Linked DNA regions of Oryctolagus cuniculus. The protein of the gene in region 1 interacts with the protein of each later gene in a pairwise test. Links are inferred from orthologs where the notes say so. Each region holds a gene or a part of one and is shown on either strand. Other genes may lie near its edges.

Evidence for each region. The genes of interacting proteins can lie anywhere in the genome.
Region 2: the proteins of PER2 (region 1) and CRY1 interact in a two-hybrid assay, tested with the Homo sapiens proteins (5 studies listed by BioGRID, with this or other methods). The link is inferred for Oryctolagus cuniculus from reciprocal best matches to the Homo sapiens genes PER2 and CRY1.
Region 3: the proteins of PER2 (region 1) and CSNK1D interact in binary tests that used the Homo sapiens proteins (3 or more experiments, as listed by UniProt). The link is inferred for Oryctolagus cuniculus from reciprocal best matches to the Homo sapiens genes PER2 and CSNK1D.

Annotation. Positions count from the first base shown.
Region 1 is NC_091434.1:2,124,064-2,128,249, forward strand, and holds the start of PER2 (period circadian protein homolog 2), read left to right. Parts: upstream 1-1,373; 5' UTR 1,374-1,492; intron 1,493-4,186. UniProt on the Homo sapiens protein: Transcriptional repressor which forms a core component of the circadian clock.
Region 2 is NC_091442.1:109,554,776-109,558,293, reverse strand, and holds part of CRY1 (cryptochrome-1), read left to right. Parts: intron 1-29; coding exon 30-181; intron 182-406; coding exon 407-609; intron 610-718; coding exon 719-814; intron 815-3,518.
Region 3 is NC_091448.1:767,829-771,346, forward strand, and holds part of CSNK1D (casein kinase I), read left to right. Parts: intron 1-1,641; coding exon 1,642-1,813; intron 1,814-2,201; coding exon 2,202-2,341; intron 2,342-3,518. UniProt on the Homo sapiens protein: Essential serine/threonine-protein kinase that regulates diverse cellular growth and survival processes including Wnt signaling, DNA repair and circadian rhythms. It can phosphorylate a large number of proteins.

The DNA.
Region 1 (4,186 bases):
GGGAGGACAAAAGGCCCTCAGGGTGTGTGCAGGGTGCAGCCTGTGTGCCTGGCATGGCGGGGCAGAGAAGCAGGAGGAGGCGTGAGCTGCCCCAGGGCTGCCCCGCTGAACGTGGTCCCTGGCCCGGTTTGTGCCTGAGAAGTGGCACACGCACCTTGTCCAGCAGAGGGGCGGCAGCAGGTGAGCTGGCTTCCGACACCAGCAGCCGGGCTCCCTGGGCTACCAGTGCTTTCCCTTCCCTCCCATGCCTGGCCCCGGAGAGCCCAGCAAAGCAGCAGGAGAGGAAAGGGAGATGGTTCCCGGACAACGCCTGGTGCCCCCACCATTCTGAGACCCTGCTCTCCCAGAGCCCGCTGCCCGGGAGCCTGCGCGCCGCGCCGGGACTTGCAATGGTCCAGGCTTCTACACAGTCAGTGCACTCTCTCCCGACACGGCGATGGGAGGTTGGCGGCTTGCCATGCCCCCATCAGTGCTCACTACTCCAGGGTCAGTGCTGTCTCCCCGGAGCCCGCCCACCCCTCTGGCGCCTGTTTCTCTGTGGCTTGTAACTTGCTAAGGCCCTGCTGTTATACCAAACCCGTGTGTTGGCTGATTTATAATCCACACCACCCAGTTTAGTGTGGATGAAGTTCCTGGGACCGTCCTTTCTCCTTAATGATGTGCCTGCGGGCAGGGACACCATCTTATTTTGTATCACCCCAAGAATTGCAATGCATAGTTAAAAAAATAAGAAGCTGACCCTCCTGACCAATCGGGGACAAGTGACCGCCACAGGCACCTGGGTGGCCTGGTGGGCTGTCTTCAGTTCCCTGGGCAGCTCCAGCGCCCAGCGATGAATGAATGAACGAATGAGTAAATAAATTAATGAATGAGTGAACGAAGGACGTCAACAGGGAGTTTCCCGCTGCCCTGGCCGCTGCGGGAGAGCCTCCGGCGGGTCGTCAAAGGCAGCAGCCCACGCAGCCCGGGCTTCTGTGCCGCGGGATCTTCCCTGCCGGCGGCCGGTGCGCAGTAGTGCGCCCCGCGCCTAGCTCCCCTGCCCCGCAGTGGTACGCGCCACTCCGCGCTCCCGGGGCGGGTCGACGCGAGGCGTCTTGAATGGAAGGCGCCGAGGCCGGAAGCGGAAGGGACCACTCGGCAGGACGAGAGGGGGGACACGAAAGCGCCGCCTCTTCATTGAGGAACCGAAGCAGTGAACATGGAGTTCCATGTGCGTCTTATGTAAAAAGAGCGACGGGCGCCGCCACCAATGAACGCGCGGCACCCGCAGGTCCGGCCCCCCCGGTATGCAGATGAGGCGCAGCCGCGACCAATGGCGCGCCGGGGGGCGGGCGCGGCGCGCGCGGTCACGTTTTCCACTATGTGACAGCGGCGGGTCGGGGCGGCGGCGGCGGCGCCGCGGGCTACGCGCTGGTCTCGGCGGCGGCGGCGGCGGGCGCGGGCCGGGCGAGCGCGCGGACTGGCCGGCGGAGGGTCCGGCGACGGCTGGGCGGTGAGTGGCGCGGCGCCCGGGCGGGCGGCGGGTGCGCGGGCAGCCGGCGGCCGCCGCTCGCCTCTTACGTAACCGCCCCGGGCCGGGCGGGCGGGGTCCGGCGCTGCGCTCTGGTGTGAAGGGCCGGCCCGAGCCCTTCACGGCCGGACGGACGGCGGCCTTGGGACGGTTGTGTGCGGGAGACCTCGGGCCTGCTGCGGGCGCCCCTTCCCGCCGCGCAGAGCCAGCTTTGCGGATCGGGAGAGTGAGGCGCCGGGAAGCCCGACGGCCGGGCTGCGGTCTCGGAGCGACGGGGTGGGTGAGGACCACGCCGGCCTGCTGCCTCGTCCAGCGTCAGGCCCCGCAGCCGTGGGGGGCCCGGGGGGCCAGTCCTGGGCTGGAAAGGCACCCCAGGTGGGCGCTGCTCTGGGAGCTCTACCTCGACCCCCGCCCGGCGCCCTGGAGGGGGCGAGCCGAGGTGCCAGAGGGTCGCCGGGCCGGGCCCGTAGGACCCCCGCCCGGCGCCCTGGAGGGGGCGAGCCGAGGTCCCAGAGGGTCGCCGAGCCGGGCCGGGCCCGGAGGACCCCCGCTCGGCCACCTTGTGTGCATTCCTTTTCCTGGGTGGGTTGGGGGCTCCGGGAGGGGGGGGCGGTCTGGCCGAGCCGCAGACGTGGATCGCGGGGGGCAGGGGCCGTCCCCGCTTCGGGAAGCCCGGGGAGAGGATGACGGCTCTGTTGCCAGGGTTTCGGCGGCTACACAGAAGGAACCGGTTTGGAAGGCTGATTCATCCTCAACCGCGGAGTCACCAGGCACCCTGGAGCCGGTACAGGGGAGCCCCTCGGCTTGACAGAGACAGGCTCAGGCTCAGCTGCGGCCTGCGGGCATCTCTCAGGACAGGGTCCCCGCGGGGCCTGAGTGGGCGGGGCTGGGAGCCCTAGGTGTTACCCAGGGGCAGGGGCCGCTCCCCATGTCTGGCGCACTTCTGTGTGACCCCCTTGCTCAGAGGGGGGACCCCCACCCTGGACCTGCAGCTGAGGTTCCTGGTCCCAGGCTGGGTTTGGCTAGGAGGGGACAGGACACTACCTGACGGCTTCCCCTGGGAGCCGGGAGTCAGCCTGCAGGTCGTGTAAAACCCTGGAGACAGGGCTCCCCGCTGCAGAGGAGCTGTGTGATGTGCCGGCACAGGGCCCACACCGTGGGTGTCGGCAGGCACTTGTCACCGTCGTCTCGGTGTGATCACTGGGGCAGAGCTCGCACAGGCCCGGCTCTCTGTGGAGGCTGGAGTGGGAGGCGGGAAGCCAGCCCGGGCCGGGCTGCACGGCTTGGCCCCGGCCGGGCCTTGGTCCCTCAGCTGTGTGGAGGGGCCCAGGCGGGGCGTGCACAGGTCTGCTCAGTTGCCAAGCTGGGGGTCCCTGAGACGCCGCAGAGGAGAGCAGGCCGTCCCTCGGCGAGGCCTGGCCGCTGCTGGGGCACATTACCTTCCTGGAGGCGTGCTGCGGTCTGAATGGTGACACGGCTTCCCCAGGCCTCAGCAGGGCACAGGGCTCCAGAAGGTCCCGGCGCGGCCACCTGGAGAAGAGTAAGGCCCCCATGTTGAAAAACTGGCTTGAACACGGGACCGTGGCTTGGCAGGTGTCTGGCGCCCGCCCCTATGGAATCTGCCCATCTGCCAACCCAGGGAGGACCGGGGCCGGGGCCTCTGCCGGGCCCTGGCCCTGAGCCCGTGTGCTTTCCCCCGCGCTGCAACTCTGTGTTCATTCTGTGCCTGTTCGGTACAAGTTGTGGGGCGGGCATTTGGCGCCGTGGTTAGTTAGGAGGTCCGTGGGGATGCGGCATCCTGGCTCTGAGTCCCGGAGAGCAAGTCCTGGCTCCACGTCTGCTCCGGCTTCCTGCTAGTGTGCAGCGGGTGGCGGGTCCCTGCCATCCACCTGGGAGCCCTGGCCTCGGTCCGGCCCAGCCCTGGCTGTTGAGGGCACTTGGAGAGGGGAACAGCAGACGGAAGATCTCGGTCTCTGCCTTTCAAGAAAATTGAAAATTTCTACTCTAAAGTTGCGACTGTGTCCCTAAGTCTGGAGCGGAGTAGGAGCAGCCGTGGCGGGAGACAGGTTGTCGGAGGCTGGTGGCTCCCCGGCACCGGGGGCTGTGTCATGCCCCCTCCAAGGGTTCCTGTGCTCCTCCCGAGAGTGACAGAGACCAGGATGCGCTCTGGGAGCCACTCCAGGCAGGAGCCAGGGCCTCGGCTTCCTAGAATCCGCCCACCCCAGAGCGGCGCAGCGGAGCCCCGCAGCGGGGAAGCTGCCGCCACTTGAGCGCACTTGTGAATCTGCGCCTCCTCTCCCTCGCCTCCCGCGCCTCCCTCGCCTCCTGCGCCTCCCTCGTCGCGCCGGCCTCCTGCTCACATTTTCCTGTGACCCGGCGGCCGTCGCCATGGAGAGCGTGGCTGTTTATTCAGCAGGGCAAACATTCTGTAGATTACCCAGGCCTCAGGGAGCTGGCTCCCACCAGGAAGTAGCAAGCCTGTTACAATACGTGGGGTTGTAAAATACCGCCGCACTCGCAGGCACCAAGACAGGCTTCTGAGCCCTGTTACATAAAGCTGTGAAAGAGGCAGAACTAGCCGGGCTGGTGGGGCCCTGGGGTGGGCAGGTTGGGGGCGGGCAGCGCCCTCCTGCAGATCTGGGTGTCGCTCACGCGGGCGTGCTCGGCTCACTGGCA
Region 2 (3,518 bases), on another chromosome or scaffold:
AAACTAATTGGTTACTGTTACTTCTGAAGGTATTTGAAGAATTATTGCTTGATGCAGATTGGAGCATAAATGCTGGAAGTTGGATGTGGCTATCTTGTAGTTCCTTTTTCCAACAGTTTTTTCACTGCTATTGCCCTGTTGGTTTTGGTAGGAGAACAGATCCCAATGGAGACTATATCAGGTAAATCAAGGGTTATTACTCAGTTTGGAATAGCTAATCCAGAAGAGATTTTCATGTTTAAGCAACACTTTAAGTATTCCCCTCTCAAGATGGGCAGCAGAAATAAGGAGAAGGGTAAACAAATCATTTAAATGGTATTGATTTGATTTTGGTCACTGATAGCTGGTAGTTTCTTACAGTTTGCTCATAGTACATTTTATTAATTTTTCTTCCTTTTCCCAAAAGGCGTTATTTGCCTGTTCTGAGAGGCTTCCCTGCAAAATATATCTATGATCCCTGGAATGCACCAGAAGGTATTCAAAAGGTAGCCAAATGTTTGATAGGAATTAATTATCCTAAACCAATGGTGAACCATGCTGAGGCAAGCCGTTTGAATATTGAAAGGATGAAACAGATCTATCAGCAGCTTTCACGATACCGAGGTCTAGGTATGTTGATAGTTGCCTTTGATTTGTTGTTTGGGCAGCTGTTTCTGTATTTACTCTTGATTTTGATCTTGATCATAATTTGATAGGATTTTTTTTTTTTCCTGTTCAGGTCTTCTTGCATCAGTACCTTCTAATCCTAATGGGAATGGAGGCCTCATGGGATATTCTCCTGGAGAAAATATTCCAGGTTGTAGCAGCAGTGGAAGTAAGTGAAAAAGAAATTATTGTACTTCATCACATAAATAGATTACCTATAACAATCTGTCTTTAAAGTTAATATAATAGGTCTATACCCATGCACACACACATATCACCTCACTCTGTTGGTGACATTTTAGAAATGGAAAACATTACATGTAGTAAATACTTAGATCAAGTTAAAGATCTTGCAAACTGGATGTGGACAATGATTTTAAGGGTAAAATGAAATTCGCAACTCTTATTTTCAGAATGTTCATTATTTTTTATTCTCTTTGGGTGTGTACCAGCTATAAGGTAATTAGTGAAGGTCAGTGACCCTGTAAAAATCGTCAAGAGATGTATCATTCATGCACAGAGCATCTAGTCCTTTTATATATGGGGTTTTTTTTCTTACAAAGTCTGGTCTGTGATAGTTTTCTGTATGATATATATTTAGTACCAACTAAATCCTTTAAAAAAAAGTTATTATTTTAAACACAGAGTGACAGACAGGGAGGGAGGTAGGAAGGGACAGAGATACAGATTTTCCATCCATTGATTCTCTCCCCAAATGGCCTGTGGGCCAGACCAAAGCCAGGAGCCTAGGACTCCATCCAGGGCTCCAATGTAGGTCCCAGGAGCTCATGTACTTGGGCCACCATCCACTGCTTCCCAGGTACATTAGCAGGGAGCTGGATTGGAAGCATAGTAGTAGGGATTCAAACCTGTGCTTCAGTATAGGATGGCAACATCGCAGTTGGCCATTTAACCTGCTGTACCTCAACACTGGCCCCATCGCGTAAATTCTTAATATATGTGACATTAATAATGTTAAATTGGTATGTATTGGAAATTTGAATCATTATGTCAGGAACTTCTTTCGGGTCTCCCAAGTAGGTGCAGGGGCCCAAGCACTTCGGCCATTTTGTGCTGCTTTCCCATGTGCACTAACAGGGAGTGGGATTGGAAGTGGAGCAGCCAGGACTTGAACGGGTGCCCATATAGGATGCCAACACTGCAAGTGGTAGCCTAAGTTGTTATGCCACAGCAATGCCCCACAAAATTTGTTTTTGAAGTTTTCACTGTAAGTTTCCCTTCTTATATGTTCTTGGTAGTTTGTAATTTAACTTTTCTAGTTACTCTGAAGACATGACTATGAGGACTTGTGATTTTTGTGACTAAACAAGCTAACTGATCAATAGGTCTCTGTTCTTTGCTCACTATCTCTTATACCATTATTGACATGAAAATAAAATCTACATTTTATGGGAAAGTTATAGACTATAGTGGTATTCATGAATTCACGAAGTCAGAAGACCTTAAGGCCTTCCTATCATATAGCCCTATAAAGAAAGAAATATCTTAAAGAAATTCCGAATATATTTATTAAGCTTATTAATTTCCCCTTCTTCTCATAGGTATTTACCCTCTTGATTCATAGTACAATAATTTTTGTCTATGTTGTTAACTTTATAGGAATGGAATCATCTAGTTTGTATTCTTTTTTGTGTCTGCTGCTTTCATTCAACATTTTGTTCTTGAAGTTACTCACATTTACCTTAGTACTAGAAGAAGGAATAGAATTGATGACCTTACTTTTCTCTGAAGAGAGGATAGAACTTCCACTTCACTTATGATCTTGTCTAAATACTGATGGAGTTTGTAGATTCAAAAGGCTTCTGTGGCCTAGGCAGCTCATGTGAAGAGCCTTGGGTGATCACTGACATAATAACAAGAGTGTTAATTGTTAAATTAACAACAAGAGTCACTATGCACTAACTTCCCATGCAGGTTTTTTGTTTTTGTTTTTATTTTACTGTGCAAATTGTTGAACTCTTTACTTACTATAGAGTTGGTCTTCTGTTGATAAAGTTAATTGAAAATGGATCTTAGTGGAGAATGGGACTGGGAATGAGAGAGGGAGGAGGAGGAGGGGTAGAACAGTGGGTGGGAGGGTGGGTATGCTGGGAAGAATCACTATATTCCTAAAGTTGTACTTAAGAAATGCATGAAGTCCATATTCCTTAAACAAAAGGTTTCTTTGGGGGGAAAATAAATAAAAAGAATGGGTTACCTTGAGAAAATAAAACTAAAGGTGACTAGTTTATTGCTTGTCTGAAGGGCCATCTTTATGAATCTCCCAATAAAACTGACCAATCTTTTCTCAGAGTCCCTATTGTATTCTGTACTAAAATCCATCCAAACACCTAATATCACTTTTATACTAAGTGATTTGGTGTAGTTGTCTCCTCAGATTCAGCTATGAATCCCTTGAAGGCAGATCCCATATCTTAGTTATATTTGTATCCCTAGTACCTGATATAATCCCTGGCATTCACAGGCATTTAGCACATGTGTTAAATATAAATGAAATGAGGAAAGTGTAAATAAATATAATTTAATATATATTTGTTTGTTGCTGCGCTGGATTCATTCTGAGAGGAGGCGCATGGTGGTGGCAAGAGGCGCGGAGTCACCACACAGACCCCAGGAGTCGGGTGAAAGCAGGCCAGAGGAGAGCAGCCCGCAGACTCGTTTATTTCAGTTGGTACAGCGGCTTAAATAGCCAAGGTAGCCAATCCGATCAAGGGGTGGTTTATGCCCTAACCAATCACAGCCTGTTGCCAGGCAGTATCCGAAGCCATCCAATCACAGCCTGTTGCCAGGCAGGCTCTTTTGCCATGTGGTTTCCAAAGCTATCCAATCACAGCCTGTTGCTGGGCAGGCTC
Region 3 (3,518 bases), on another chromosome or scaffold:
GGGCTGGAGTCCCAGGGCGCGAACGACCGTGTGCTGTGGCTCAGAGGCCAGCCCCGTGCTGCTGTCCCATAGTCCAGGGTCCGGGCATCAGGTGGCCACCCGCCTTGTTCCGGCATTGTCTGTCCCTCATTGCAGCCGGGCACAAACGGCCGTCACCGTGGCTTTGCTGGTGTTGTCTGCCCTGACAGCGTGTGGGCGGGCGGGCATGTCCAGCCCAGTGAGGCTTTCTTCTCCGCAGGGGTAGCACCTGGCTGTGTCTGGCAGCCGTGGGTGTAGAGCCTCACCTGATGGTGTTAGCAGTGGGGGCAAGGCCTGGCTCATGACAGGCGTCTTAGCCTGGGGTGCACGGAGGGTGTTTGAAGTAGCAGCGAAGGTCTGATTGGGAGTGCGTCCCCCGTCAGCGCCCACTGCCAGACAGCTTCCTGCCAGTGCAAACCCTGAGCCGCAGCAGCTCCGGTGCTCGGGAGACCCAGCTGGATTGAGTTCTGGGTTCCTGGCCCAGCCCTGGCTTTTGGGACCATTCGGCAAATGAATTATTGGAAAGGTTTCTTTTCTGTCCTTCTTCCTTTCAAATAAATAAATAAATTAGAAAAAAAAAGACTGTTTGTTTGGGAGGCAGAGTGTACAGAGGGAGAAAGAAAGATCTGCCACCTGCTGGTTCACCCAACAAATGGCTGCAGTGGCCAGGGTTGGGCCAGCTGAAACCAGGGCCTGGAGCTCGTGTCTGGGTCTCCCGGAGCCCAGGTCCTGCCGGTTTCCGCTGATCTCGGCGTATCACCAAAGAGCCGGATCCGATGTGGAGCAGTGAAGCCTCGAACCCGTCATGATGGTGTTGCAAGCGACAGCCTAACCCATCGCGTCCCCACACCCAGTCCTTAATCAGAAGTGTACAGGGGCTGGCACCGTGGCGTAGCCTTTGCCTGCAGTGCCGCATCCCCTGTGAGCCGCAGTTCGAAACCCGGCTGCTCTACCAGTCGAGCTCCCTGCTAAAGCACCTGGGAAAGCGTCGGAAGGAGGTGCAGATGTCTGGGGCTCTGTACCTACATAGGAGACCCAGACTTCTGGCTTCGGATTGGCCCGGCTTTGGGCATTGGCAGCCATTTGGGATGTCAACCAGCAGATAGGAGATACCTCTCTCTGTGCCTCTCCCTCTCTGTAACTTTCAAAGTAAATGAATCTTAAAAAAAAAAAAAAAAGAAAAAGAAACAAAAGCACGAGTTGGGGTTGTGGGGCGCAAGCCTGGCTGCTGTACTGGCCCCACTACAGCGTGGCCTCCCCCGGTCAGGAGTCTGGGCGCTGGGTGGGTCCCTCAGTGACCCAGTGCTGTTGCCTCTGCCCCACCCCTCCCCAGGTGCTGCCACACTGAGCCCATGCCACGCCTTAGGTGGTTTCCTACTCTGACTTCCTCCACATACAAGCGTTTGGGTGTGCGGGGGAGCCTGGGAGGTGGTGACGCTGAGGCAGCCCTGAGCCGCCGCCCAGGAAAGCACACAGCAGTGCGAATTGGTTTTTTCCGGTGGTTGTGGGTCGGGGGGCTAAAGTGTCTGACCACCATGGGCGCAGCTCTTGTCCAGCAGGCGGCCTTGTTTCCAGCAGCCTGGGTCAGCGCTGGGCTCACCTCTTCCTCTTCCTGTTCTTGAGGGTGCCAGCCGGGCTGCCGACGACGCTGAGCGGGAACGCCGGGACCGAGAAGAGCGGCTGAGACACTCCCGGAACCCAGCCACCCGTGGCCTGCCTTCCACAGCCTCTGGCCGCCTGCGGGGAACCCAAGAAGTGGCTCCCCCAACGCCCCTCACCCCTACCTCACACACGGGTGAGTGCCCGTCGGCGAGCACAGGGCTCCCTTCTGTCCAGTGTCTCTTGGGTCTGGGCTGGCGCTCTGGCCTCCCACGCGTGGCTGGTGCTGTCGGACCTCTTGCTTTGGTCGGTTCTTACTCCAAAGAACAAGTGGGATGTCTCTCCCAATGCCCAGATTTCTCTCCCATGCACCTTGTAGGGCCGAGTTCCCCGGGCCCCAGGTGCTGTGGCGTCATGAGGCCCCGGTGTGCCCTCCATGCTGAGCTCTAGCCATTGGGGGCTCTCCCCTGCCAGCGGCCCCTCTGTCCATGGAGCTTCCTCCAGTGAACCCCCGTGCGGGAGCCAGGCCCCAGCACAGGCCGTGGGTAGGCCAGCTCACCCTGGGTCTCTGCCCGCCCCCCCAGCCAACACCTCTCCACGGCCTGTCTCTGGCATGGAACGAGAGCGGAAAGTGAGTATGCGGCTGCACCGCGGGGCGCCAGTCAACATCTCCTCGTCCGACCTCACGGGCCGGCAAGATACCTCTCGCATGTCCACCTCACAGGTGAGTGCCGGTCCACGCTCCACCTGAGCCCCGCCAGGGCTGGTCTCGCGCGCTCCAGGGTGAGAGTGGGGTGGGATATCGCGTTCCCTCCCTCCCTCCCTTCTGCCCTTTCCCGTGTGTGGGGGTCCTCAGCAGGGGACCCGTGTTCCTGGTGAGTGAGTGGCGTCTTGTTGAGCGCTCAGATAACGTGTGCCGTCTCTAACAAGGGCTTGGTTTCCAGCCATGGCTGCACCTGTGGCGGCTGCTACTGCGCCTGCGTGTGAGCAGCTTCCCCGTGCACCCCTGCCCGCTCCTCGTCCGGGAGGGACGGCACCGGGGGCAGGTGCTGCCGAGGAGCCCGAGCCCCACCCTGTCCCTGGGCCTGCAGTGACCCCGCAGGCACGGCCCCGGTGCTCTTCACGGCCTCTGACGAGAAGAGTGCCAGAGAAAGCGGCTGCGAGCGGTGAGGGCAGGGCAGCACGCGAGTCCTGGGCAGCCGGGGCCAGCGGGGGCCCTGCTCTCCTGACCGTTTTCCTCCCGACATCTCCCTTCTCACTCTTGCTCTGCGTGGTTCTGTGGTGCAGCCGGCAGAACACTGCACCCGGCGTGGTCGCCCAGAGGGCTGGGCTTGGGCTGAGGATGAGCGTCGGAGGCGTCTGTTCCGCTGTGCAGCCCACCCTGGGCTCAGGGCTGCGTGGGGGTGTGGGGCGCGCAGGGGCCTGGAGCCCGCCTCAGCCCTGTGCCCCAGCTCTGAAGGAAATGAGTAGTTTCGTTGGACATCGTGACCCTGCCGAATCATGGGCTGTGTCTGTGCTTTCTGCTGCGTCCCACTAGGGCCGGGACGCTGGGCAGCTCCTGCAGGGCACACACAGGCCTGGGGGCTTCCTTCCCAGCGGGCGGCTGCGGCTGTGAGCAGGCCCAGGAGGTGTCATCCAGCTGCACCTGCGGGGCTGGTTCTGCCCAACCCGTGAAGCAGGAATGAGGCTGCGATTGGACTGGGGCCTCTTGGAGGCAGCAGCTGTGCTGCCCTGACTTCTTCAATAAAGCGTCTGGTGTTTGGGATCGGGAGGGGAGCGAGCTTGGGGCGGCCCAGCCGTTCTCGGCCCACATCCTCGGTGTCACCGGAGGTTGTCTCCCCGGCAAGCCTGTGGCTTGGGATCATGCTCTGTGCGCTCCTGGCTTGTTTCCATGTGGGGAA